Saccharomyces cerevisiae S288C: one gene and its partners. Changing the gene in region 4 together with the main gene of any one other region gives a genetic interaction. Each region holds a gene or a part of one and is shown on either strand. Other genes may lie near its edges.

Region 1 (2,866 bases), on a different chromosome or scaffold from region 4:
TTCCATTCTCTTTCTAATACTTGATTGCAAGTATTTTTCTACAAACCCAAGCTCGTCTTTCTTTTTCACATCACCTTTTCTCTTTGCAACGATACACCAAGTAGTGCCTAAGTGAGTCCGTTTTTCTTCCACCAATTCTAGGTCAGAATCATCTAACACTTCGCCTAAGTCGAGATTCCATCGACAGCCCCAAGTATTCAGTCTTCTTTCAGCTCTGTTGTCTAATATCTTATTTATAAAATCGTATTGACCTCTACCATGTTCCAGTAAAATAATTCTTCCATCTGGCTTTAATAACTTGCCAAAATTATTAAGTGCCTTAACCGGATCTTCATGGGAACACAAACCAAACGCCTCCACGATAGTATCATATTTTACTTGGTTTTCCTTTTCATTCTCTAGAGAGGGCTTACCTTTCTCTGCTAAGTCTACTAGATTTTCCGCCTTTCCAACAACAAATGCAACTTTTTTATACTTAGGAAACTTTTCTCGGAATTTTTTATGTGTAATTTCCATCATATTTTCAGAAGAGTCTAAGAATGTTATAGAGTTGATGCGTGACATATCAAGGTACTTGATATTTCTTCCTGTACCGCATGAAACTTCCAAAACATCCCCTTGACAATGTTTCATTAACCATTTCCTTCTTTTACCGAGAAATATTACTCTCTCTTCCATATTAATTGCCTTATCATATTCGTTAGCTTTTTCTTGGTAAAAGTTTGTTGTGTCTCTTGCTGGCAATATTTGTTCATTCAATTTGTTTTGATCAAAATTCTGTACCCGAATATCATCGAAGTTTTCAATGCCTTCTTCTTGCATTTTTTTGTATTCTTCTAATTTCAATTCATCTCTCCTCCTTAGTTTTCCTTTCAATTCTTTAATCCTTAATGCTTCGTATTCATTGGCATTCCCTTCTTCTTGTTTCTTCAACAATCTTTCCAGTTCTTTGTCTTTCGCAAACAGTTTTTTGGTAAAGAAGAGACCATAGATTAAAAATATCACATAAGCACCGATCATGTACTTGGTCATTCCCTTTGAAAACTTTTCTGATCTCGCAATAGCTCCCCACCTCACAAATCTATTAGGTGACCTCAGTTGTTCTTCGAACCTCTCTTTGGCCAATTCTTCTTTTGTTTTTTGCTTACGAATGACTCTATTGCTATTCATTTGGAAAACATTTTTAAGCTTTTTTTTACTTTTATCATCATCAATGTGGCTGCTGTTATATTTATAAGATGTAAAAGATAATGATCGCCTTTGTGATTCCAACAAAAGACTCCTGGATGCCGGTTGTCGAATGTGATGTAAAAGGCACGTAGGAAAGCGACGAAATACGATCATCCTCACTTACTTATGGTTTTCTTGTTCGTTCCTCAGTGGTTTATTTATCGAAGATATTTTCACAAGGTACTTTTTTGATGCGGTCCCATTTAGGGTTTCCAAAATTAATTCGAACCGTGATATGCTACCAGTCGAAAATTGTCAGAGATAAGTTCCTTTTTTGAAAAGAAAGATCGATGCAAGTCATCGGACGTGGTGGGGCAAATATACTGATTGATTATGGGGATCCTACGTGGTTGTGGCGATGCTGCATCCGTTGGCCCGATCTGTTATCATCAAATAATTCTTATACAATCAAAAACATCAGTTATATTAAAGATTATGTAGAACCTCTTCTACATGGCTTGCTTTGCCCGATGTATCTGATTGACGTCGATATAGAAGCTATAAGGCCAATTCTCAGTGACTTTATTCTAAATTTAGACGATAAGGTAGTCAAAGTTATCAAAATTAAAAATCTCACCAATAATACCTCAAATCTGATATTAAATAACCACTTTTTAAAATCTTATTGTTCACAAAATCTGCAAACAGTTATTTTAGAATTGAAGCCTAAATGGTTATACTATGATACAGATTACTGTAGGAACTGTACTCATAATGCATTTAAGGGTAGAGGCACTAAGTACTGTTACAATCAATTACTAATGAATCCAGCACACTTGGAATTAATATTTGGAGAATGTAATATATTTCCGGTTAAGTTTAAAGATGCCATGCATGAGTACTTGCGCAATGACAATAACATTTTCAAGATCCTTTATGATTTACAGAAAAAACTTACAAAGAACACAACTCCAATAAGTGACATAAAATCAATCAACGATGTAAACGATGAGCATCTGCTACTCATGACACTCAGAGACGTGACATGTTTCATTGAATGGAACAGTGCTGAAAATGCGTTGCACGTGAATATAATAGATGTAGATCTAAAGCCAAAAGAAAAATGGACCCATTGGACAAAAACTTACAGCCAGTTGACATCAAGCCAAAAAATTTATCATACTTCAAATAAATAAACTGTATACTTTTCTTTCCACCTTTGGTACTGGCAGATGCACATACATTACCATTTGTAAAATATATGGATAGATAAGTATTTTTTTTTTCTAGTGGCCCTCTGGAAAATGTAAATAATAAAACGGAAAACACACAAGCCAGGGTGAATGACCAAATTCGATATTCAACGAAGGGTCAAACCTTGAAACCTAGCATACATGAGTTTAAGGAATAGTGAGAAGAAAAGTAATGGCCAAGAGACTGTTAGAATCAAGCCAAAATGATCAGGCCAATCGAAAAAACTCAAAGATTGAGAAGAAAGAAGTATCGTTTTATGAGGAGGAAGAAACAGATGATTCTTTTGATAGTTTTTACCAGGATGAAGAAGATGATTTAAGTGATATTGATTGGGAAGAAGTTTCTTTAGATGGAAGCTTAACTGTCACATTTGGCAATATACGCAGAGACAGGGAGAAAGTCAGCAAGTACAAAAGAAAGCATAATAAAAAAGCATTCAATT
Region 2 (7,972 bases), on a different chromosome or scaffold from region 4:
GTGCATCTACTGCAATGGTCTCATCTAATCAAACCTCTGCAACATCTTTCAGTGGTACAGTCAATGCAGAATCAGAACAAAGTGGGGCAGTGAATGGTACGGAACTATACAATCACACCAAATATAATGACTACTTCAAGAGGTTGTCGATTTTACCAGAAGAGTCAATGAGTAACGGGCATCAAAAAATATCGCATGCAGAGTTGGTTGTTTCCTGTCGGAAGCTCCTATTTAGTTTTACAGAATGCCAACAAGCTATCAGAAAAATCGCCTCTTTCTGTAAAGAGAAGGCCGTAGCGGTTAATGTAGTATCATTATTATACTCTGTCAGATCACATACTGATAATCTGGTGGAGGTCTTGCAGCAAACAGAGAACGAAGACGAATCGCATGATCAGGCGTTAATCAAGCTGTGCCTCACTATCATCACAAATTTTAAACAAATTATAACATTGTTGAGAAAAAATTTTGAGATTTTTTTCAAAGAAGACGATCTATGCTTCATAAGGATGTTTTATATGACATTAATGTGTGCTTATATGGAAATGTATAATGCATGGTCTTTTATCAAAGAAGATGATCAAGTGTCCGGTTCTGCAAGTAAGGCACCCAAGAAACATTCTTTTTCGAGGCACGAGACATCGTCCAGTAGTATCACAAGCGGTGGAGGACCCGCAGCAAGTACGACCAGTACACATTGTAGCGGAAACATAAAATTACTGCCGAAAACAAGGAGCACAAGAACACCATCTGCATCTGCATTGCTTTCAAATAGTAATATTCTGACGGGTGATACCACTGCTGTTCCTCTTTTATCACCAAATCTAAATGGTGCACACACCCATGGTCCAATTTTGGGACACCAAAATGCAATAAGCAATGGAAGTTCTCAAACGAACATGAATGAAGTAAAAACTACTAGCGATACTATTCCAAGGCAACAGCTGCTTCAGCACAATAAATCCATCAGCGATTCGAAAAAAGAGTCACAGGCGCATGAACCTAAACAGCATCCGGTTATGACTTCTTCAATAATTAACGCATCAAATAGTAATAACGTCTCGAATGTTAATATAACCCCACCACCGATGAATGGTGGTGGTGCCGCGAACAGTAGTGCTAATGTAGTGGAGACAAATATTGACATTCAACTGTATCAAACGTTGTCCACAGTAGTTAAAATGGTGAGCGTTGTATATAACCAGTTAACTTCAGAGATATCCAAGATAGCCATTGCTAGCACCATGGGAAAGCAAATTTTGACGGACTCGCTAGCACCTAAAATTCGTGATTTGACGGAAACATGTCGTCAAGCGATGGATTTATCCAAACAATTGAATGAAAGGTTAAATGTATTAATACCGAACGATTCAAATTCAGAGAAGTATCTGACATCTTTGGAGAAGCTGAAAACGTGGGAGATAATGAATTCGTTCTTAAAAGTAATAATATCAATTCTGGCTAATACTAAAATCGTAATGAGCGACGTGCCTAATTTGAATGAGCTGAGACCTAACCTAGCCAACTTGGCGAAGATTACCAAGGATGTCACTGTGATATTGGACTTGAGTTCATACAAGGCTGTATCAGTAAGCGCCAACTCTCCGGAGTAATATAAAAACTTGCATTGTGAGAAAACGCGAACTTTAGAATACGTAATGGGAGGATCATATACCCCATGGTACTGAAATGTATGCTTTATATATATATATATATATATTTATATATTTATGCATGAAAAATGAGGAGTTCGGAAACAGAAGTTTTAAAAGTTACAGATTTATTGTATAAAAGATACACGCCACTGGTTGAATGTAAATGTTAAAATGAATTGGCATGGTCTAAAAATCCCTCGTAAATCTTGCTTAATTCATAATGGTAACCATGGATACCCTGGGATTCCAAAAATATGGGTAGGCGAACTCTTGTTCGTTCCGCGATACCTTTTAACCTCACAATATCAGTCCCATTCAATCCTGCTATGTTCTTGCTGGCTGAAGACGTTTTAGGGACTTCTTTGCAATTATCATTATCATCAGTTAGAATTACAAATATCCTGTCAAGGATGAAGAAGAGTTTGAATAATTTGGATAAAGTGTCATTAATCTCTGAGTCTTCCATATTTTTGAATGTAAATTTTTCAACGTAATCGATGAGATCGTCCGCAATTTTTATTAAATAGGACCCTTGACCAAAATAACTAGAATATCCGCATGTATCTTTTGGGTTTCGGGAATCTGGGCAATGTCTCTTTTCTTCTGATTGAAGTAAATAGTCTGAGTTTGGAACATGGGCAATAGAATACCAAACGAAGTCAACTAAAGTTTTTAAATCCTGCAGCAGCGGAGTAAGACTGGCATAGCCGTTTTTGATATTCAGGCCCCTGGATTGAACAAATTTTCTTTGAATTTGTAAAAGCTGATCATCAACGTAAGAGATGAATTTGGATTGTTGAGACATTGACAATCTTCTCGGGTGTGACGTTCCATTGTGATCATTTGGCAATAATTCACTCAGCTTTGTGGCAGACGAAAAGGGAGAAGACACGTTTATTCTAGGCTGGAAATCGTCAACATCATCGAGCATAGTTACGTCGTTGATTGTGTTGTTAGTTTCATTGTAAACATCATTGAATTCTGGTGTATGATATCTTCTTTTCTTATTACAATTACGCTGCCATATAACGTTGTCTATGTTAGAATTTACGACATCACCTGAGTCTGCACTAATTTCTACATCTGAGTTTGGATCCAAGTTTAAATCATCAATGTCTTTTTCATCTAGATCATTTAAGTTGTTCAAGTCCAGTTGCTCATTCGGTTGAGCATGTAATGGTGTGTTTGGCTCAGACATCAAAATACTGTGTTGAAATCTTTTATTTTTATAATATTTCTTTCCTTACCAGGGCTTGGAGTCTCTACAACAGTTAGCTTACTGTTTATTCTGCCACATTTCCACCCTTTTGTGGGGCTTCTATTTCAAGGACCTTCATTATGGAAACAGGGCGAGGTTGTTTGTTCTTCCTGCATGTTGCGCGCAGTGCGTAAGAAAGCGGGACGTAAGCAGTTTAGCCATTCTAAAAGGGGCATTATCAGAATAAGAAGGCCCTATGAGGTATGATTGTAAAGCAAGTGGTGTAAAATTGTGTGCTACCTACCGTATTAGTAGGAACAATTATGCAAGAGGGGTCCTGTGCAAATAAAAAATATATATCTAGAAAAAGAGTAGGTAGGTCCTTCACAATATTGACTGATAGCGATCTCCTCACTATTTTTCACTTATATGCAGTATATTTGTCTGCTTATCTTTCATTAAGTGGAATCATTTGTAGTTTATTCCTACTTTATGGGTATTTTCCAATCATAAAGCATACCGTGGTAATTTAGCCGGGGAAAAGAAGAATGATGGCGGCTAAATTTCGGCGGCTATTTCATTCATTCAAGTATAAAAGGGAGAGGTTTGACTAATTTTTTACTTGAGCTCCTTCTGGAGTGCTCTTGTACGTTTCAAATTTTATTAAGGACCAAATATACAACAGAAAGAAGAAGAGCGGAATGAGACCGTTGTATAGCTGCAACCTTGCAACCAAAGATGATATTGAGATGGCAGGTGGCGTAGCTCCTGCTCACCTGGAAGTTAATGTAGGCGGCTATAATACAGAGCAGACAATACCTATAGTAAAGCATCAGCTCGTGAAAGTTGGGAGAAATGATAAGGAATGTCAACTCGTTCTAACGAATCCCTCTATCTCCTCTGTTCATTGCGTGTTTTGGTGTGTCTTTTTTGATGAGGATAGTATTCCAATGTTCTACGTTAAAGATTGTTCTCTTAATGGAACGTATTTGAACGGTTTGCTTTTGAAAAGGGACAAAACGTATCTTTTAAAACATTGCGACGTTATTGAATTATCGCAGGGAAGTGAAGAAAATGACATTAAAAAAACACGACTAGTTTTTATGATTAATGATGATTTACAATCTTCTCTGGACCCAAAACTTTTAGATCAAATGGGTTTTCTGAGGGAAGTAGACCAATGGGAAATAACAAATAGAATAGTGGGTAATGGCACTTTCGGTCATGTTCTGATCACGCATAACTCAAAAGAACGTGATGAAGATGTCTGTTATCACCCTGAAAATTATGCTGTGAAGATCATTAAACTAAAACCAAATAAATTCGATAAAGAGGCTCGAATCCTTTTGAGACTGGATCACCCAAATATTATCAAAGTCTACCATACTTTCTGTGACAGGAACAATCACCTTTACATATTCCAGGATCTTATCCCTGGTGGTGATTTGTTTTCTTACCTAGCTAAAGGCGACTGTCTAACTTCCATGTCAGAAACTGAATCGCTATTGATCGTCTTTCAAATTTTGCAAGCTTTAAACTACCTTCATGATCAAGACATTGTTCACCGCGATTTGAAACTAGACAATATTTTGTTATGTACGCCAGAACCGTGCACTAGAATCGTCTTGGCAGACTTTGGTATAGCTAAAGATTTAAATTCCAACAAAGAAAGAATGCATACTGTCGTAGGCACTCCGGAATACTGCGCTCCAGAAGTTGGATTCAGAGCAAACAGAAAAGCATATCAAAGCTTCTCAAGAGCAGCTACGTTAGAGCAACGAGGTTATGACAGTAAATGTGATCTTTGGTCTTTGGGTGTCATTACACACATTATGTTAACAGGGATCTCGCCTTTTTATGGAGATGGTTCTGAGAGGAGTATTATTCAAAATGCAAAAATTGGGAAGCTGAATTTCAAACTGAAGCAGTGGGATATTGTTTCAGATAATGCCAAGAGTTTTGTCAAAGACCTTTTGCAAACTGACGTAGTTAAACGATTAAATAGTAAGCAAGGTCTCAAACATATTTGGATTGCAAAACACTTAAGTCAATTAGAGAGATTATATTACAAAAAGATATTGTGCAATAACGAAGGCCCTAAACTAGAAAGTATAAATTCAGACTGGAAAAGGAAGTTACCCAAAAGTGTTATCATTTCTCAGGCAATACCGAAAAAGAAGAAGGTTTTGGAGTAATCATAGGATTATCTCTTCCTCTTTCAAACTGCGCGTAGTTCAAAATAAAAAGGTATCTGTGTAAAAAAAAAAAAGTAAGTCAATTGTATGATTTTTAAGTAAAAGTTGCCCTTTTCTACTAGAAACGGCGAGAAAAAATGATAGTAGTGTGCCAAGAAGAATATGAAGTTACTTTTTAAAAGATATTCGTCTAGTCATATTGGTAAGCTGATTAAGGACTCTTTAATCACTCCTGAAATACTACCACAGCTAGGGCGACAGCCATCATCGCATAAACGTTTACCAAATAACAAAAGAACTAACTCAATAACTGATAAATGGTTGAAGGATGCGCTAACAAGAAAAGATAAACTGAATGAAGATAAGCTCCAAAATGTAAATTTACGATTAAATGTGGTACTGACTACTCTACAGAAGCTTCGTACATCCGATAATCCTGCTTTGTATTTTGCGTTGTTGAATCGTATTGGCACAGGTCACATAAAATGGCTAAATAAAAGTGGCCGACAGATTGATGCATTCCCACCTGATCGGCTGCCTTTGGAATTTTATCATGAGCTATCTAATATGCTCTATAAACTATCGCTTCGGTCCGCAAATGACAAAATTGCACTAGCTAAATTTTCATTGCAATTATTGGATCGCTATTATTTTCTTAAAACCAAATCTTTAACTATAGAAGGAAAATTTCGGGCAAACATAAAATTTTTGAGGAATTGTACTCTTTTAATTGTTAAATCCCAATCGAACTACTACTTAAGGGCAATACAGCGGTTGTTCGCGGAAAATTCGGAGGGTCAATTATTAGCCAATTTATCCCAGCTGGCATTTTATGTGGAGACCTCCCAATGGACAAGTATGTTGGATATTTTATCCTCATGTGTACCGGATTCTGGTTTAAGAGGTTCGAAGGAGCGTGAAAGAGCTATTCAATTGTTGGAGTTATTTAGTCCATGCCTAGTCAAAAGTCTAAAAGTAATGATAGCACAAAATATGGAGAATGAAGCTTGTCAGATTTTAAGGAGCTTGTCTGAATGGAACTTTCATTTTGATCAGCATGATTCCTCCAACTTGATACAATTATCCCAGAACCATTCTTGCCTCAAAGTTATTGAAACCATGAATGGATTATCATCAACTACCGCTGTCACTAGGCAATTCGGACTTGAAAAATTACCAACTGACGTGAGTTTGAAGCAGAGCATACATATTTTATCAAAAGATAATTTCGAACCTCTCAAGCAAGATTCATTTCTTCAATTTCTATCGTTTAAATTAAGTGATTTGCCTCTGAACTTAGAAGTATGGAAAAAGCACATTAAGGAGGTTGATGACCAAATGCAGGCTGAGTCCAACCTGCATTCCTTAAGAGCTTTTTTTATTGATATGCTACTGTGTCACTTATCTGTGCGCAAGGATTTCGATTTTATGCTTTCATTGGTCGAGCACATAGTATACGAAAAAAATTTATGGCAGCCATTATTACTCACAGATAATATAGTTGGAAACAAAGAAAATTCCACTTTTCATTGCCTCTTTCATGGCGCCTCTCAAGATATTTCTACCAAACTTACTCTACTGGCATTGTATAACCAGTTGAATGAAATCGGCTATCAATTTACCTCCCACGATTTTCTCTCGATGTTGAAAGTCTGCAAAAACTACTCTGATTCTGATTTTTTCTATTTTGCTTTCTATAATTTGTTGGTTACACAAAGTCACAAATTTTTTCTTTTCGATAAGTTTAGTGATAAGTTTTCGTGGAGGTTGCCAATACAAATCGGAGATGCAATTTCTGAATGGCTATCCAGCTTAGAAATTGATATACAAGAAAACACCGATAGAGTTTTGCAGATAACAGATGACGTCGGCGAATGGTATGTTGAGAATAAACCATTTAAGTCAGAAAAAGGGACCATTCAACCAATAAACATAATGGAATTGCGCAAAATTTTTGGGGAGCGAAAAACTCTATTTCATATGGATTCAGAAATTTTCCAAAAATCTAAAGCAAAAAGAGATAAAGAAATGCGGAATGAAGCTTTATTTACCGCAAATGATGCGGAATATAATTTTGCTGCGGATGTATCCTATGCAAAGAGAGTAGAAAATCTATTTTCTTACATAAGATCTAAGCAAATGCAACAAAAATAATGATTATATGTAAAATTTGCCGTTTACATTCTATAAAGTGATATCAGACTCTAATATATTCGCCAATTCATGTTTCTGGCAGGCCACTTGTAGAGCTTGGAGTTGCCTGGTGACACCTAATTCCAAAAATATCTGGAACATACCTTGTAAAGCGACATTTTGATCAGTCATAAATTTTGATTTTGTTGCGGCGTATTCACGTTTCACAAGAACCAACAACCTTTTCAGTATTATGTTGGATAGATTCTTCTGGTCAGCATTTTCTCTCATTGTGTGGTAACAAGATATTGCCAAGAACGGGAAGAATTTGATCACGCTTACTCTCAATGTCGTACAATCTAATAAATGTAGGTTATAGAACTTGGCGAAAACACCCTGAAAATTAAAATTTGGATGTAGAACAACCAACCCAGATTCCATGATTCTAGTCCAAAATTTTACACAATGAATGGTGAATTTGATGGTGTCAAATCTCATACCTCCTGTTAATGGATCCTTGTTACGATCGCGTATTCTTGATTCAGCGATTTGTTTAGCGCTTGGAATTATTCTGATTAAATCGTGGCATAATTCCAGCTGTTGTGAAGGAGACAAAGATCTGTAGTATACGATAAATGAATCTATTGATGAAGTAAGCTGAGAATCTGTAAAATGTATTGCTCCAGCGCTCACTGCATATCCTTTCCAGAATTCTTCACTTAAACCTTGCTTGTGACGGAAATTGAGTATCGAAGAGTCAGATAACACAGTGATTTGTGATGTGGCCGAAG
Region 3 (9,765 bases), on a different chromosome or scaffold from region 4:
TCTTCGAGGCTTCTGTTCTATGCGGAGAGTTGATTATTTTGTCGAGTAATCGGTCAAGTTCTTCAGACCTGTTTGGCATTTTTACGATTATCCAGTTCACACACATTGAGAATGTAAGGAACATTTATTTATTGTCGATCATTTATTAAATGTGGGAGGGACCCTTTAAGAACACTGCAACAAACCCAATAAATAATTCTTGGTTACCCTCTCAAAAAACATCATAGGAAAAAGAAAAATATACAATCTGCCTTTGTTACTAATATACTTGTTCTATATAATGCTCACGCGGTGGTCACAAAAGCTGCCACTCCCATGCAAAACTTCACAAGATCATCTAATCTGTCTTCCTTCTTATGTACATCCTCCCAATTTTGAAGAGCAGAGGCAATATCTTGATTCTTGTTGTTAGCATGAATAACATCACCGTGTGCCTTAAACAGTAAGCTCATAAACGTTTCATAAAGTTCGAAATTTTTATTGCTCTTCAACCCCTGTGTTAACGCGTCGATAAACCACACAATTTCATCAAATGGCTCAAAGGAATTCAATGATCTTATCTCCAAATCCACTGCAGCAGGTGAGAAATTTATTAGAGTGGCCAGCAATGATGAATAGTCCTTGGATTGTGAGCCCTCTCGTAATTGCTTTGTGAAATGTGATTCAAACCCTAATCTTCCTGTAACTTTGAATTTATTCATTTGCTCTTCTGCATCTAACTTCTTTTGTGCTTCTTGATCTCTGCGATGGATTTCTTCTGGTGTTTCATGTGCTATGCCTTCTCTGACAGAGGCTTCATCCCCAACCTTTTCCCCAGATAGTTGCAAGAAAAATGGAAGCTTTTCTGATTTCTTTGGAGCTTCCTTTGGCTTAGAACGTTTTCTGATAACATCTAAATGAAGCAATGTGTTCATTTTACTTCTAGGTCCTATTGATAAAGTCAACAGCTCCTTATCAATCTGTTCCAATGATGTATAAGTGTTGAAATCAATATCATTTAGGTCTTCTCCTCCATTGCTTTCTAAAGCCCCTGATAACATCGAGTCGTTCCCTCGAACAGATGTGCTAGGTAACGCCATTCTTGCAAATTCAGACTCATCGATGGTTCTTGTCGATACTGTCTTAAATTGTGCTCTGTTCGTCCAGATGCATATACCATTACCAGTAACATGGGTAGTGGCAAGCAAGTCACCATTCGGAGAAAACTTTACATTCGTAGCGACATTATCTACTATGATACCATCGATACATCCTCCGGTTGGAAGATCCCACGTTCTAATGGTGGAATCTAGAGAAGCGGAAACAATCCAACGGCCCTCAGGTGAGAAATCAAATGCAGTTATTCTATTACTATGACCCCATAATTGACGAACAACTCTTTGAGTAACTGCGTCAATAACAACAATTGATAAGTCGTCTAAAGCCAATGCAAATAGATCGGAAGAACGATGATAAACCATTGCGGTAATAGGTGCATCCAATTTCAATTTTCCCAACAAGGTTGACTTGTTAAAGTCATAAAAACCAACAATACCGTCTAGTCCACAAGAAACCATTTTACGATTCATACCATCTAAGGATATACCGGTGACTGCTCTTTTGTGCAATTTGTATTTTTTACGGAGTATACCACTTTGCATATTATAGATGGTGATAGAGCCGTTAGAAGAACCGATGAATCCAAAATTACCACATTGCGACATGGCCACAGATTTAACAAATCCATCATCAGTAGTATCAAAAGTCCACCTGCCAACTCTTTTATTTCGCATATCCCAGGTTCTTGCAAACTTTTCATCTTTATGTGCAGTGATAATGTTTTCCCATTCACCTATTCTGGCATTTTCAATTGCAAGAGCCACTATTTCAGGAAATTTAGACTTAATTGTACTACCACCTACCCTGCCGCCATCTTGTTTCTTGTGTAACCTTTGTGACATTTCTTGCGACTGTGCATCTTTACGCAGAGAAAAGCTCCATAATGATCTATCTTTGGATGCTGATAGCATGAAGTGTGATTGCGAATCAGCAAACGCAATGTATGAAGGTGGTTGAGAATGACCCCCTCTGGAACGTAGATATCTTGGCGGTTGAACAACTACATCACCGCTTCCTTGAGATAATGACGGATCGAAAACGTACTCCTTCAGGGAATTGTCACCACCTGATGTAACAATAATGGGTTGACCATTTAAAAAAGTAGCCTGAGTGACACCACCGTACGATTCTCTATGAATGTTCTTCAAAACGTGTATTCTTGAACGGCGATCTAAATCATAAAATATTAGATCACCACTGCTCGTTCCCACACTCAAATGAGAAGAACCGTCGGTTCTGAAACTCAATGAGGAGATTCTTGATTGCGGAATCTTAATTGTGCGGATCCTTTTACCTTTTCTCATATTAAACATAATAACCTCACCGGTCACGGTACCTAGAGCAATAATATCCAGGACTGGAGCGGGTTCAGCAGTTGTGATTTGGTCTGGAAATTCGTTTGATGTGAATACAAGCTTCCCGGTTCTGACGTTAAAAAGTAAAACGTTAGATTTGGTAACGACAGTTAATTTATTCAAATAAGTTGCCAAATGTTGTAAAGACACAATTTCGCCACCTTGAATTTCAGTAACGGTAAGTTTAGTGTAGAATTCTGATGGATATTTATCTTGCGGATCGGACTTCTTGTATATAAAGATGGAATTGTCGTCGGTGGAAGCGCAAAGATAATCTCCGAATATGCACAAATGTTCGACATTTGCATCAGTTTCTAGCTCAAGCAAATGTTCCTCAATACCCCTCTTGTAAATACCAACCTTGTTTTCATATGCTGCGTAGACGTAGTGAAAGTGTGCTGATAATGCTACAATTGAGGATGGTGTTTCTTTCTCGGAAACAAAAAGTAAATGTAAGGTATTCGCATCATATATCTGAAATGTTTTACCAACACACGTTACAATGTAAAAGGTAGATCCCAATGTACCAGTAGCAAAAGGAACACCATTGCTAACATTACCAATAATCCGGAAAGGGGAAAATATCTTAGAATTTTTCCCTCTACTTCTTACGTCTTCTTCGACTTTTCTTTTTTTCAAGTCGATAGACATAATGTACTATTCCTAACTCGCTATAGCCTTTTCAGTGTCTTATTCCTTGCTGCTGTTTCGCTGTATATTTATTGTGCTTAGGACTTATTAAATTTCATTAGCAATCTCATCGCGAAATTTTTCTCAAAATTTTTCAGTTAAAAAAAAAAAAGCACGTGCTCAAAAATGTTTTTAGAAAATCATTTATTTAAGATAGGAAAAATGCAATTAATCATTGAATCAATATGTTCACCACTTAAATTACCCACTGAGCATTTCATACAAATTCAAAAGCATCTCGTAGCATATTAATATATTGCAGAAGGTCATGAGTGGGATAAAGAAGGAACCGATTGAATCTGATGAGGTTCCTCAACAAGAGACAAAAAATAACTTACCTAGTGCACCTTCTGAGATGTCACCCCTTTTCCTAAACAAAAACACACAGAAGGCTATGCAATCTATTGCACCAATATTGGAGGGTTTCAGTCCTAAGACGTCAGCTAGCGAAAATATGTCTTTGAAATTGCCACCTCCCGGTATTCAAGATGATCACAGTGAAGAGAATCTCACCGTGCATGATACTCTGCAAAGAACCATAAGCACTGCACTAGGAAACGGAAACAACACCAATACAGTTACAACTTCCGGTTTAAAAAAGGCAGACAGTGAATCAAAGTCAGAAGCTGATCCTGAGGGGCTCAGCAATTCTAACATAGTCAATGATGCAGATAACATAAATTCCATCTCCAAGACCGGATCGCCCCATTTACCTCAAGGAACAATGGACGCTGAGCAGACTAACATGGGAACTAACTCTGTACCTACTTCATCAGCTTCTTCACGCAAATCCTCGACTAGTCATCCCAAACCTAGGCTACCCAAGGTAGGGAAGATTGGGGTATGTGCAATGGATGCAAAAGTCCTTTCAAAGCCAATGAGACACATTTTGAATCGTTTAATTGAACATGGTGAATTTGAAACTGTCATTTTTGGAGATAAGGTGATTCTAGATGAAAGAATAGAGAATTGGCCAACTTGCGACTTTTTGATATCTTTCTTTTCTTCAGGATTTCCCCTAGATAAAGCAATTAAATACGTCAAGTTACGCAAGCCTTTCATTATCAATGATTTAATAATGCAAAAGATTTTGTGGGACAGGAGATTATGTCTACAAGTATTAGAAGCCTACAACGTTCCAACACCTCCTAGACTGGAAATCAGTAGAGATGGTGGTCCCCGTGCCAACGAAGAATTAAGGGCAAAATTACGTGAGCATGGCGTAGAAGTTAAACCCGTTGAAGAACCGGAATGGAAAATGGTTGATGATGATACTTTAGAAGTTGATGGGAAAACCATGACTAAGCCCTTTGTTGAAAAGCCCGTTGATGGTGAAGACCACAACATTTATATATACTATCATTCTAAGAACGGAGGAGGCGGTCGTCGTCTATTCCGTAAAGTTGGTAACAAGTCTTCTGAGTTTGATCCTACTTTGGTTCATCCTCGTACGGAGGGGTCTTACATTTATGAGCAGTTTATGGATACCGATAATTTCGAAGATGTGAAGGCTTATACGATTGGTGAGAACTTTTGTCACGCTGAAACTAGGAAATCACCTGTGGTTGATGGTATAGTTAGAAGAAATACTCATGGTAAAGAAGTTAGATATATTACTGAGTTATCAGACGAAGAGAAAACCATTGCTGGGAAAGTTTCCAAAGCTTTTTCACAAATGATCTGTGGTTTCGATTTGCTTCGCGTTTCTGGTAAAAGTTACGTCATTGATGTTAACGGATTTTCTTTTGTAAAGGATAACAAAGCTTACTATGATTCATGCGCCAATATATTGAGAAGTACCTTCATTGAAGCCAAAAAGAAGATGGATATGGAAAAGAAGAATCTGCCCATTATTCGTGAAGAAAAGGAACAAAAGTGGGTATTCAAAGGACTGGCTATCATTATCCGTCACGCGGACAGAACACCAAAACAGAAATTCAAACATTCATTCACTTCGCCTATTTTTATATCGTTACTAAAAGGTCACAAAGAAGAAGTTGTCATTCGGAATGTAAATGATTTAAAGATTGTTCTTCAGGCCTTAAGAATTGCGTTAGATGAAAAAGCAGGAAATCCAGCTAAAATTAAAGTGTTAGCAAACGCTCTAGAAAAGAAACTGAATTTTCCCGGTACGAAAATACAATTGAAACCGGTTTTAAATAAAGAGAACGAAGTGGAAAAAGTTCAGTTTATTTTGAAATGGGGTGGTGAACCCACTCATTCTGCCAAATATCAGGCTACGGAACTCGGAGAGCAAATGAGACAAGATTTTGACCTATTGAATAAGAGCATTCTACAAAACATCAAGATATTTTCATCGTCTGAGAGACGTGTTCTTCATACGGCGCAGTACTGGACCAGAGCTCTTTTTGGGGCCGATGAATTAGGTAGCGATGAAATCAGTATTAGAAAGGATCTTTTAGATGACAGTAATGCCGCCAAAGATTTAATGGATAAGGTGAAAAAGAAGTTGAAGCCACTTTTAAGAGAGGGTAAGGAAGCTCCCCCACAATTTGCCTGGCCTTCAAAGATGCCGGAGCCATATTTAGTCATAAAGCGAGTGGTTGAATTGATGAATTACCATAAAAAAATTATGGATAACAACTTTGCTAAAAAGGATGTCAACTCGATGCAAACAAGATGGTGTACTTCTGAAGATCCTAGTTTGTTTAAGGAAAGGTGGGATAAACTTTTCAAAGAATTCAATAATGCTGAAAAAGTCGATCCTTCTAAAATTTCTGAATTGTATGATACTATGAAGTATGATGCTCTTCACAACAGGCAGTTCCTAGAGAACATATTTGACCCGGGTCTTCCAAATGAAGCTATCGCCGATGAACTCGGCAGTCATTCTTTAGTTGACCGATACCCAATTAACGTTCTCGCCAAAAATAATTTTAAGATAATAGACAGTCATAGCATGAACAATTCTGGAAAGAACAGTAGTAATAGTGTTGGGTCGTTAGGATGGGTTCTGGAAAGCGGAAAAACATCTACAGCAAGAAACCCCAAATCTTCTTCTCAATTCGATGAGCCACGCTTTATGCAGTTGCGGGAGCTGTATAAGCTGGCCAAAGTATTGTTTGATTTTATCTGCCCCAAAGAATATGGTATTTCAGATGCAGAGAAACTGGATATCGGTTTGTTAACTTCGTTGCCTTTGGCAAAGCAAATACTAAATGATATAGGAGACATGAAAAATAGAGAAACTCCAGCTTGTGTTGCGTACTTCACCAAAGAGTCCCATATTTACACTCTATTGAATATCATATACGAATCTGGTATTCCAATGAGAATCGCTAGAAATGCTTTACCAGAACTAGACTACTTGTCGCAGATCACTTTTGAACTTTATGAGAGTACGGATGCTTCTGGTCAAAAATCGCATTCCATTAGACTAAAAATGTCTCCTGGGTGTCATACTCAAGATCCGTTAGATGTTCAATTAGATGACAGGCATTATATTAGTTGTATTCCAAAGATTTCCCTGACGAAGCATTTGGATATGGACTATGTTCAACAGAAATTGAGAAACAAATTTACCAGGGTCATTATGCCTCCGAAATTTACACCAGTAAACATTACGAGCCCCAACTTGAGTTTCCAGAAACGCAAAACCAGAAGAAAGTCGGTATCTGTTGAGAAGTTGAAACGTCCTGCCTCGTCCGGATCTTCATCATCTACCTCCGTTAACAAGACATTAGATTAGTGATCACACCCAATTTTTAATTTAGTAACCCAAAACTAAATAAGTATTTACTCAACTTTTTTTTAAAAAAAAAAAACTTAATTGAATTTTGCTCGCGATCTTTAGGTCCGGAGTTTTCGTTGAACCCTTAGACGAGCAAATTAGCGCCATAAGGATATGCGTCAGAGCACATTAATTAGTGACATATACCTATATAAAGAGCAACCTTCTTGTTGGAATAAAAATCAACTATCATCTACTAACTAGTATTTACGTTACTAGTATATTATCATATACGGTGTTAGAAGATGACGCAAATGATGAGAAATAGTCATCTAAATTAGTGGAAGCTGAAACGCAAGGATTGATAATGTAATAGGATCAATGAATATTAACATATAAAATGATGATAATAATATTTATAGAATTGTGTAGAATTGCAGATTCCCTTTTATGGATTCCTAAATCCTCGAGGAGAACTTCTAGTATATCTACATACCTAATATTATTGCCTTATTAAAAATGGAATCCCAACAATTACATCAAAATCCACATTCTCTTCATGGTAGCGCCTATGCTTCGGTTACTTCTAAGGAAGTCCCATCAAATCAAGATCCGTTAGCCGTTTCAGCTTCCAATTTACCGGAATTTGATAGAGATTCCACTAAGGTTAATTCTCAACAAGAGACAACACCTGGGACATCAGCTGTTCCAGAGAACCATCATCATGTCTCTCCTCAACCTGCTTCAGTACCACCTCCACAGAATGGACAGTACCAACAGCACGGCATGATGACCCCAAACAAAGCTATGGCCTCTAACTGGGCACATTACCAACAACCATCTATGATGACGTGTTCACATTATCAAACGTCACCTGCGTATTATCAACCGGACCCACACTATCCGTTGCCACAGTATATCCCACCACTGAGTACTTCCTCACCTGATCCAATCGATTTAAAAAATCAACACTCTGAAATACCTCAAGCTAAGACAAAGGTGGGAAATAACGTCTTACCACCACACACTTTAACATCAGAAGAAAACTTTTCTACATGGGTTAAATTTTACATCAGATTTTTGAAGAACTCTAATCTCGGTGACATCATTCCAAATGACCAGGGTGAAATCAAAAGACAAATGACTTATGAAGAACATGCGTATATATACAATACCTTCCAAGCATTTGCCCCATTTCATTTATTGCCAACATGGGTAAAACAAATTTTAGAAATTAATTATGCTGACATCCTTACAGTCCTTTGTAAAAGTGTGTCCAAAATGCAAACTAACAATCAAGAATTAAAGGATTGGATAGCTCTTGCCAACCTTGAGTACGACGGAAGTACATCTGCTGATACATTTGAAATTACAGTCAGTACGATCATTCAGAGGCTAAAAGAAAACAATATCAATGTTAGCGACAGATTGGCCTGTCAACTAATACTTAAAGGTCTATCCGGTGACTTCAAATACCTACGTAATCAATATCGTACCAAAACGAACATGAAACTTTCCCAATTATTCGCTGAAATTCAATTAATATATGACGAAAATAAAATCATGAATCTAAATAAACCGTCCCAATACAAACAACACAGCGAATACAAAAATGTTTCTCGCACATCTCCAAACACGACTAACACAAAGGTTACAACTCGTAATTATCATAGAACAAATAGTTCAAAACCAAGAGCAGCAAAAGCTCACAATATTGCTACATCTAGTAAATTCTCAAGGGTGAACAATGATCACATTAATGAATCAACCGTTTCATCACAATACTTAAGCGATGACAACGAACTTAGTCTTAGGCCAGCAACAGAAAGAATCTAAGCCAACACACACAATAGACTCGAATGACGAACTACCTGATCACCTTCTTATTGATTCAGGAGCTTCGCAAACGCTTGTCAGATCAGCCCATTATTTACACCATGCAACACCCAATTCTGAAATAAACATAGTCGATGCTCAAAAACAAGACATTCCTATAAATGCCATTGGTAATCTTCACTTCAACTTTCAGAACGGCACCAAAACATCAATAAAAGCACTACACACACCAAACATAGCCTATGATCTATTAAGTTTGAGTGAGCTGGCTAACCAAAATATTACTGCCTGCTTTACCAGAAACACTTTAGAAAGATCGGATGGTACAGTACTAGCTCCCATAGTCAAACATGGAGACTTTTACTGGTTATCTAAAAAATACCTAATTCCTTCGCACATTTCAAAGCTAACAATAAACAACGTCAACAAAAGCAAAAGCGTAAATAAATATCCATATCCGTTAATACATCGAATGCTTGGACATGCTAACTTCCGAAGTATTCAGAAGTCTCTTAAGAAGAATGCAGTTACATATTTGAAGGAATCGGATATTGAATGGTCTAACGCTAGCACATATCAATGTCCTGACTGTCTAATCGGCAAAAGCACGAAACATAGACATGTCAAAGGATCACGACTAAAGTACCAAGAATCATATGAGCCTTTTCAGTACTTGCATACCGATATATTTGGTCCTGTACATCACTTACCGAAAAGTGCACCTTCTTACTTTATATCGTTTACAGATGAGAAAACCAGATTCCAATGGGTGTACCCATTACACGACCGTCGTGAAGAATCTATCCTCAATGTTTTTACATCGATATTAGCATTTATTAAGAACCAATTCAATGCTCGCGTTCTAGTTATCCAGATGGATCGTGGCTCCGAGTACACTAACAAAACTCTTCATAAGTTCTTTACGAACAGAGGTATTACTGCATGCTATACAACCACGGCAGATTCTAGAGCACACGGTGTCGCTGAACGATTAAATCGTACTTTATTAAACGATTGTCGCACACTGCTTCATTGCAGTGGTCTACCAAATCATCTATGGTTCTCAGCAGTCGAATTTTCTACTATAATCAGAAA
Region 4 (7,536 bases):
TATACCAAATGTTTACCATTCTGAATCGTATAGCCAACAAGTAACCACAGCTGCAATTGTGAAAAAAATTGATAGGTGTGGTCACCCAACTGTTTTTTTCTCTTTTTCTTTTTTTTTTTTTGAAATGGCTAGACGGTGCTTTTGCTGGTAAAAGAAAAACTCTTGTTTCAATTTAACATGATGAAAAAATATATTAACACAGACCTGTACTGAACTTTTCGAAGTTTTGCAGATAACAATATTGCTTTTTTTCTCTGACTTTAACTAATCGTTCTTATTTCTGTATATACTATGACCTTGCAAACCTTGAAATGCAAAATTCGTATTCTCTGCTAAATTGAAAAATTTAGAGCATGAAGTGTGTTTTCCAGCAGACACCGCCTGTGAAAAAGATGGTAAAATGATATGATAATTAAACACACATAATAATAGCATATATGATATATAAGACTATATGAAGAGATGAGGAGAAGAGAAGAAAAAATTGGTAGTATTTTCATTTCATCTATTTCTTAGCAGTCAATCTTCTTAGGTAGAAAGCTAATTCTTCACCTTCCAAGATGTAACCATCACATCTACCGGATTGACCTGGTCTGGAAGAGATACAAGCGTATAATCTACCGGCGCTGAATTGAGATTCAACGGAAGATTCGATCTTGGCAGAAGCAGCTCTAGCAGCCCACTTTCTTTCAGCGTTCTTGCTCTTGGCAACAGTTTCTTCTTCCTTGACGTTCTTCTTCTTACCCAAGGTTTGACCGTAGTGAGCTTCGAACCATTGTCTGAATGGAGTAGCATCAATTTGGACAATGGCAGCCTTGGTCAAAGTGTTAGTTCTAACCAATTCATTGTTGGATGGATGGTAAACAACACCAGCAATTCTGGTCTTCTTGGAGATACCTTCAGAAGCCCAAGAAAAGTTACCGGTTTCAATTCTTAGAGCTCTGTATTTCTTGTTACCACCTCTAGTTCTAACAGAGTGAATTCTCTTAGCACCGATCTTGGTGTTGGCTGGTTGACGGCCTAATTCGAACTTTCTCTTCTTTCTGAATTGAGCACGCTTGGCACCGGTAGCGGATCTTTTGTGACGAGAATCACGAGAAATACCCATTTTGTAACTGTAATAGAAAATTTAATGACGCTTGTTAGTAAAATAAAGAACGTACAAAAGTTGCGGAATTTTTTTCTTATCTTGAAATATGCTTTGGTTTCTTTTCATCTCTTCTTGTGAAAAACTCGGCGTTTCATAAGAGGCTTGATTTTTTGGGTACACAAAGGATTCAGTTTAGTGCACTGCTCCTGTCACAATTTATATCATCCCTTTTAGTTAAGTTTACTTTTTCCACTATCTATTCCATTCAAAGAGAGGTCCTGTAGCATTCAAAATAATATGTAGTTCCATTACTCATATGACCATAGCACATACTTTTTGTCCTGGTGTGTTTATAACGTCTTCTTGTGAGTACCAAAAAGCAAATGGCAAGTGTAATTTCCTATAACTTTAAGATAGGCCTGTAAATAACGTATATGAAACAGTTCCATCCCGTAACACCATGAACACTGCGTAAGAGAAAGCCCTCAAGCTTTCCCAGCGATGCTCGTGTGTAGGACCGAACATGGAGGGGGGAACTAGGCCCAGCACGGGTTTGGCGAGGCCGCTCTGCTCGCAGCTCAGGATTCTAAAAGGTTATTCCGCTGAGAAAATCAGAAAATAGGAACTTCTCACGCAATAATTTTAAAGTTGATGAAAAAGGAAAATTTGTAAAAGTGTAAGGGTGTTAAAGAGGGTGTATGGATGTAAAGTCACAAAAGTTAGAGCAGATGAAAAAGAAATGGGTGGAGACAAATCCGAAAAAGGACCTATATTATCGCTATAAAGAGCTTCTCATCGCTTTTTTTTTTCAAAGACACATACATACCACGACTGTAAGCACATCATTTGTACAATACATTACCAGCTGAAATGTCAACATATGACGAAATCGAAATCGAAGATATGACGTTTGAGCCTGAAAATCAAATGTTCACCTATCCTTGTCCCTGTGGAGATAGGTTTCAAATATATCTGGATGACATGTTTGAGGGCGAAAAAGTTGCTGTTTGTCCCAGCTGCTCACTGATGATCGATGTAGTTTTCGATAAAGAAGACTTGGCTGAGTACTACGAAGAGGCAGGCATCCACCCCCCTGAGCCTATTGCCGCTGCTGCCTAAAGATGAGAGGCTAGATCGAGAATACAAATAGAAATAAAGAAAGAGCTATATGACTTAGCAACGCAAGCAGAAAAGAAGGTTTGCTTCTTCGCTGGACTCCGGTTGGAATTACTATTCAAAATTCCAAGTGCACTGATGGAAAACGTTTTGCTCAGGTTGAGCTCTTTTACTGCATATAAGGATACTGGGTAGGTGTATATGATTATTTTATACATGATACGTAGGCTAAAATGATTTGGACCCATTAAATCATCTTGTCGCATCTCTTTTCTTTTTCCTCCATGCTCAGATTTCAATAATATCATCTCAAATGGCTGTGACAAATTTCACCGGAAAGGCGAGGGATTTTTCTGTTGACATTATCAAATTAGCTTTTTGTCAAAATAATGAAAAATAAAGAAAATATATAAAAGTACATATTATAATCAAAGCTAGCTCAGGTATATTCCCACCTTGTCGAGCATTCCGGAAGCTACAAATACGACATTGCATACCAAGAGGCAAACGTTGAACAATGGCTAAAGATATTTTGAAGAACCAGGACCCTAAATTGCAAGCGATGATCGTTGAACACTCGGCGCCTGCTCCCAAAGAGATACCTATGGACGCTCCTGTTTTGAAAAGAGTCGCTAGACCTTTAAGACATGTAAAGTTCATTCCAATTAAATCGCTGATATTCCATACTAAAACAGGGCCCATGGATTTTTCTTATGAAAAGAAGATCAAGACGCCTATTCCTAAGAACAAAATTGTAGTTCGAGTAAGTAATGTGGGTTTGAACCCTGTAGATATGAAAATCAGGAACGGCTACACATCGTCGATTTACGGTGAGATCGGCTTGGGGAGAGAGTACAGTGGTGTTATCACTGAGGTAGGCGAGAACCTAAACTACGCCTGGCACGTGGGTGATGAAGTATACGGTATATACTACCACCCTCATTTGGCCGTGGGATGTTTGCAAAGTTCAATCTTAGTAGATCCAAAGGTGGACCCAATCCTTTTGAGACCAGAATCGGTTAGCGCCGAAGAAGCTGCAGGCTCCTTATTCTGCCTGGCCACCGGCTATAATATTCTGAATAAATTATCCAAGAACAAGTATTTGAAGCAAGATTCAAACGTTTTGATTAATGGTGGAACTTCGTCAGTGGGGATGTTTGTCATACAATTATTGAAGCGTCATTACAAGTTACAGAAAAAACTAGTGATTGTAACGTCTGCAAATGGGCCCCAAGTTTTACAGGAGAAATTTCCTGATCTGGCTGATGAAATGATTTTCATCGATTACTTAACGTGTAGGGGTAAATCTAGTAAACCACTAAGAAAAATGCTCGAAGAAAAGAAAATTTCTCAGTATGATCCGGTCGAGGATAAGGAAACTATACTTAACTATAATGAGGGGAAGTTCGATGTTGTACTCGATTTTGTCGGTGGTTACGATATTTTGAGTCATTCTAGTTCATTGATTCACGGCGGTGGTGCGTACGTAACCACTGTAGGTGATTACGTTGCCAATTATAAAGAAGACATTTTCGATTCATGGGATAACCCAAGTGCCAATGCAAGAAAAATGTTCGGGTCTATTATCTGGTCATATAACTACACACATTACTATTTTGATCCGAATGCAAAGACGGCTTCCGCCAATAATGATTGGATTGAGCAATGTGGCGACTTTTTGAAGAACGGTACTGTAAAATGTGTCGTCGACAAAGTTTATGACTGGAAAGACCATAAAGAAGCATTTTCTTATATGGCCACTCAACGTGCCCAAGGAAAGTTAATCATGAACGTCGAAAAATTCTAGATACCCACTTACATTTACAATATGTTTTATTTTTAAACTTAATGAACTTCATAATTTAATGCTTAATATTTTCCCCCTCCCACCTTCTCCTGGCGTTCTCTGTACGTACATAACCATTTATTTTAATATATAATCAAATATTGTAACAATTGAAGCAGATGAGTCTCGCTCCTTAGTTAAGCACGTGCCGATGATATCAATTGGATTTGTTAGCAAATCAGCCTTGCTGCTCGATTCTCTGCTTTTTTTTTACTTCTCGGTCATTGAAAAATCCTGACGAAAATATTTCAAGGTCCTATATGGTCATCGACCTTGAGCATGTGGTAGACTACATAATGCACATAGACTCTCAGCTTCAACTCCACAAGGCTTCTCCAGCAAAAATGAATTCAGAGTCTCGAGAAGATATGGCTATAAATAGTATCAAATTGCTAGCGGGAAACTCCCATCCTGATTTGGCTGAACAAATATCGAAAAAGTTAGGTATTCCACTTTCCAAAGTTGGTGTGTACCAGTATTCTAATAAAGAAACCTCTGTCACCATAGGTGAGAGCCTTCGCGACGAAGATGTGTATATTATCCAAACTGGAATAGGTGAACAAGAAATTAATGATTTCTTGATGGAATTATTAATTTTAATTCATGCTTGCAAAATTGCATCTGCAAGAAAGATCACTACTGTAATACCCAATTTTCCATATGCAAGACAAGACAAGAAAGATAAATCCCGGGCGCCCATTACCGCAAAGTTGGTTGCCAATTTATTGCAAACTGCTGGTGCTGATCATGTCATCACAATGGATCTCCATGCCTCCCAAATTCAAGGGTTTTTCCATATCCCGGTTGACAACCTATATGCAGAACCAAGTGTTTTAAATTATATTAGAACGAAAACAGATTTCGACAATGCTATTTTGGTGTCGCCTGATGCAGGTGGTGCTAAGAGAGTAGCTGCTTTGGCTGACAAGTTAGATTTAAATTTTGCTTTGATTCACAAAGAGAGGCAAAAAGCTAACGAGGTTTCAAAAATGGTGCTTGTTGGTGATGTTACCAATAAATCATGTTTATTAGTTGATGATATGGCGGATACTTGTGGTACGTTGGTAAAAGCTTGTGATACGTTGATGGAGCATGGTGCCAAAGAAGTTATAGCTATTGTTACACACGGTATTTTCTCCGGTTCAGCAAGAGAAAAGCTAAGAAATAGTAGATTGTCTAGAATTGTTTGCACAAATACCGTTCCGGTAGATTTGGATTTACCTATTGCTGACCAGATCGATATTAGTCCCACGTTCGCTGAAGCTATAAGAAGACTACACAATGGTGAATCCGTGTCATATTTGTTCACCCATGCTCCAGTATAGGACAATTTTTTATTCTTAGATTCCTGATTGCTTGCATGCCTAAATACTTCATAATTGTATTAGTTTAAAAGAAAACCTTTTACTGAGACAAAACTATAAATTTAAGAAAAAGGTTCCGGAGCCGGTTTAAAAAAAGAAGATTAAAGATATTATATTTATGTAAGAATTAAATTAATACTGTCAGAGAAAAAATAGTTTTAAAGGAGACGGTGAACCTTTACCTTCCTTGATATGCAAATATTTTTCAGCTTTTCCTAAAACTAAACATTCTCGACTTTTTTTTAGAAGACTTTATGGGTGTGTTAGAAACAAAGCTGTCGTCTATAGCAGTATCCAAATCGTCTGCTATAGGCAGCTCTTCCTTTTTCTTTTGACCACTATTGCAAGTTCTTAGCCAATCATCGTACTTGATTAGATTGTCTATATTATCATCTTGTTCTTTTGCCATATTTTCACGATCATTCTTTTCAACAGCGTTTGAATACATCGCTTTATAAAACAAAACATATGCTGTTGCCATATTTGGAGATTCACCTGTGAATTCTAACACTGTTTCCTCTTTAACTGCCTCTACCGTTTCGTCATCAAATAACAACCAGCCAAACTTTTCATGTTTACATAGGGAAACATAATGGCCGTGTTGTGGCCCACCGCCCATATGAACGACAATCCCAGCCAATTCATACTTTTGACAAACCTTAGAATTTATTGAAGAGCAAACATTTAGCGTCAGAGGATAGTGAATGTTATTAAAAAGCTTAATATTACAGTTTTGTTTCTCAGAATACTTGAATCTTTTCAAGTGTAATGTTAAAGTATCAGGCAATTGCTTCAAACCAACTAATCTCTCTGCCTCCTGTAAACCGCAACATTCGTCACAATAAAACTTGTTTGAGCCATTTAGCATTTCTCGCTGGTGATAACTTTTCAAAATTTCCTGTATATCTGTTTCCTCATCTCCCTGAACTTCTATGGGGAAATCCAAAAATGGCTCATCCCTAGATGTAATGTTATCGCACGTCAGACATTTTATTTGATTCGTTAAAGTGCCTTGAAACAAGTCACTGATGAAATTTTTACTCTTACTCGGTTCGCTATCGCTGTTGATATCACTGGCTGCTATTTTTTTATTCTCACGTTCTATATATTCACTCAACTCGTTTAATAAGAAATTGAAAAATTCGTGAGCATCCTGATGCATAGTAGTATTAAATAATACATTTTCTCTTTTGAGAACATCAACAAAAGAGCTAGGCGATACAACACCAGTTAAATACGTATTCTCAGTTATGCATTCAAAGATATCTCTCAAACTGGAATACAAAGTAGCCTTATCTGAGCCGTTTAAGCTATGGTCAATATTGAGCACTGGCCCACGAATAAGTGCGGATTTCTTTCTATGTTCTGGGGATATTTGAGAAGAGGAACTAGATCTTCTAGTATCTTTTTTATCAAGTGGAGTGGATAAGCTGCTATTACTTTCTCCTTTCAAGTCCAGGTTATTACTATTACTGCTACCTCTTGAAGGATTTTCATAATTGAGAACTCTGCCAACAATTATTTTACGCGGAACATCCGGAGGTCTATCTGTGACGTTCTCGAAACTCAATCTGCTCGGAGCACCAGGCTCATTAGGTGTTTCGACTATCAATGGAGGTGCGTCTTGAGGACGAGAAGAGGGTTTTCCAGTGGTTAATATAGCAGGACTTCCTTCCTTTTTATTATTGTCTTGTACATGTTTCGCGCTAAAACTTTTAAAAAATTTACTCTTCTTCTCTGAAGGCCCAGCTGTATTTGAATTTACAGAATTTACAGGGGTAGGCTTTCCATCATCAACAGATTGAGGTTTAGGGTTAGGCAAATGTCCATTGGTACCAGCAATGCTTTTCTCAAAACTTGCTTCGGTAAATATTCTTGGTTTCTTACCTCTCATTTCTTTCTTTCTTGGTTGATCAGATTCTCTTGATTTTTTTGGAAATTGCAATATATTTTCACGTAATGAGGACAGATTATAGAGACATTGAAGAACTGAGTTACAGTAACATGTATTGCCAAAATTTTCGTATCCAAAAACTTTGTTGGAGCCGTCTCCATAGGGCATTGAGTCGGACACCTTCATAGCTAATATGGGTGCCTCGGGCCCTTGCGTGATAATGCCT

The links.
Region 1: mutations in PRS4 (region 4) and IPK1 together harm fitness more than expected from each alone (negative genetic interaction), as found in Saccharomyces cerevisiae (4 studies listed by BioGRID).
Region 2: mutations in PRS4 (region 4) and MEK1 together harm fitness less than expected from each alone (positive genetic interaction), as found in Saccharomyces cerevisiae (3 studies listed by BioGRID).
Region 3: mutations in PRS4 (region 4) and VIP1 together harm fitness more than expected from each alone (negative genetic interaction), as found in Saccharomyces cerevisiae (3 studies listed by BioGRID).

Annotation. Positions count from the first base shown.
Region 1 is NC_001136.10:1,092,241-1,095,106, reverse strand, and holds IPK1 (inositol pentakisphosphate 2-kinase), read left to right. Parts: upstream 1-1,520; coding exon 1,521-2,366; downstream 2,367-2,866. Other genes in the region: OMS1 (putative RNA methyltransferase), read right to left, coding at 1-1,344; RAD34 (Rad34p), read left to right, coding at 2,596-2,866. UniProt on the Saccharomyces cerevisiae protein: Has kinase activity and phosphorylates inositol-1,3,4,5,6-pentakisphosphate (Ins(1,3,4,5,6)P5) to produce 1,2,3,4,5,6-hexakisphosphate (InsP6), also known as phytate.
Region 2 is NC_001147.6:992,094-1,000,065, reverse strand, and holds MEK1 (serine/threonine protein kinase MEK1), read left to right. Parts: upstream 1-3,554; coding exon 3,555-5,048; downstream 5,049-7,972. Other genes in the region: SOG2 (Sog2p), read left to right, coding at 1-1,613; TFIIH complex subunit TFB6, read right to left, coding at 1,822-2,853; MNE1 (Mne1p), read left to right, coding at 5,211-7,202; CIN1 (Cin1p), read right to left, coding at 7,233-7,972. UniProt on the Saccharomyces cerevisiae protein: Probable protein kinase required for meiotic recombination.
Region 3 is NC_001144.5:934,130-943,894, forward strand, and holds VIP1 (inositol polyphosphate kinase VIP1), read left to right. Parts: upstream 1-3,411; coding exon 3,412-6,852; downstream 6,853-9,765. Other genes in the region: BLS1 (Bls1p), read right to left, coding at 1-124; rRNA-processing protein UTP21, read right to left, coding at 285-3,104; YLR410W-A (gag protein), read left to right, coding at 7,354-8,670. UniProt on the Saccharomyces cerevisiae protein: Bifunctional inositol kinase that acts in concert with the IP6K kinases to synthesize the diphosphate group-containing inositol pyrophosphates diphosphoinositol pentakisphosphate, PP-InsP5, and bis-diphosphoinositol tetrakisphosphate, (PP)2-InsP4.
Region 4 is NC_001134.8:88,018-95,553, forward strand, and holds PRS4 (ribose phosphate diphosphokinase subunit PRS4), read left to right. Parts: upstream 1-4,396; coding exon 4,397-5,377; downstream 5,378-7,536. Other genes in the region: 40S ribosomal protein eS8 RPS8A, read right to left, coding at 506-1,108; YBL071C-B (uncharacterized protein), read right to left, coding at 1,441-1,539; KTI11 (Kti11p), read left to right, coding at 1,961-2,209; YBL071C (uncharacterized protein), read right to left, coding at 2,206-2,514; AST1 (Ast1p), read left to right, coding at 2,724-4,013; ubiquitin-specific protease UBP13, read right to left, coding at 5,622-7,536. UniProt on the Saccharomyces cerevisiae protein: 5-phosphoribose 1-diphosphate synthase involved in nucleotide, histidine, and tryptophan biosynthesis. Active in heteromultimeric complexes with other 5-phosphoribose 1-diphosphate synthases (PRS2, PRS3, PRS4 and PRS5).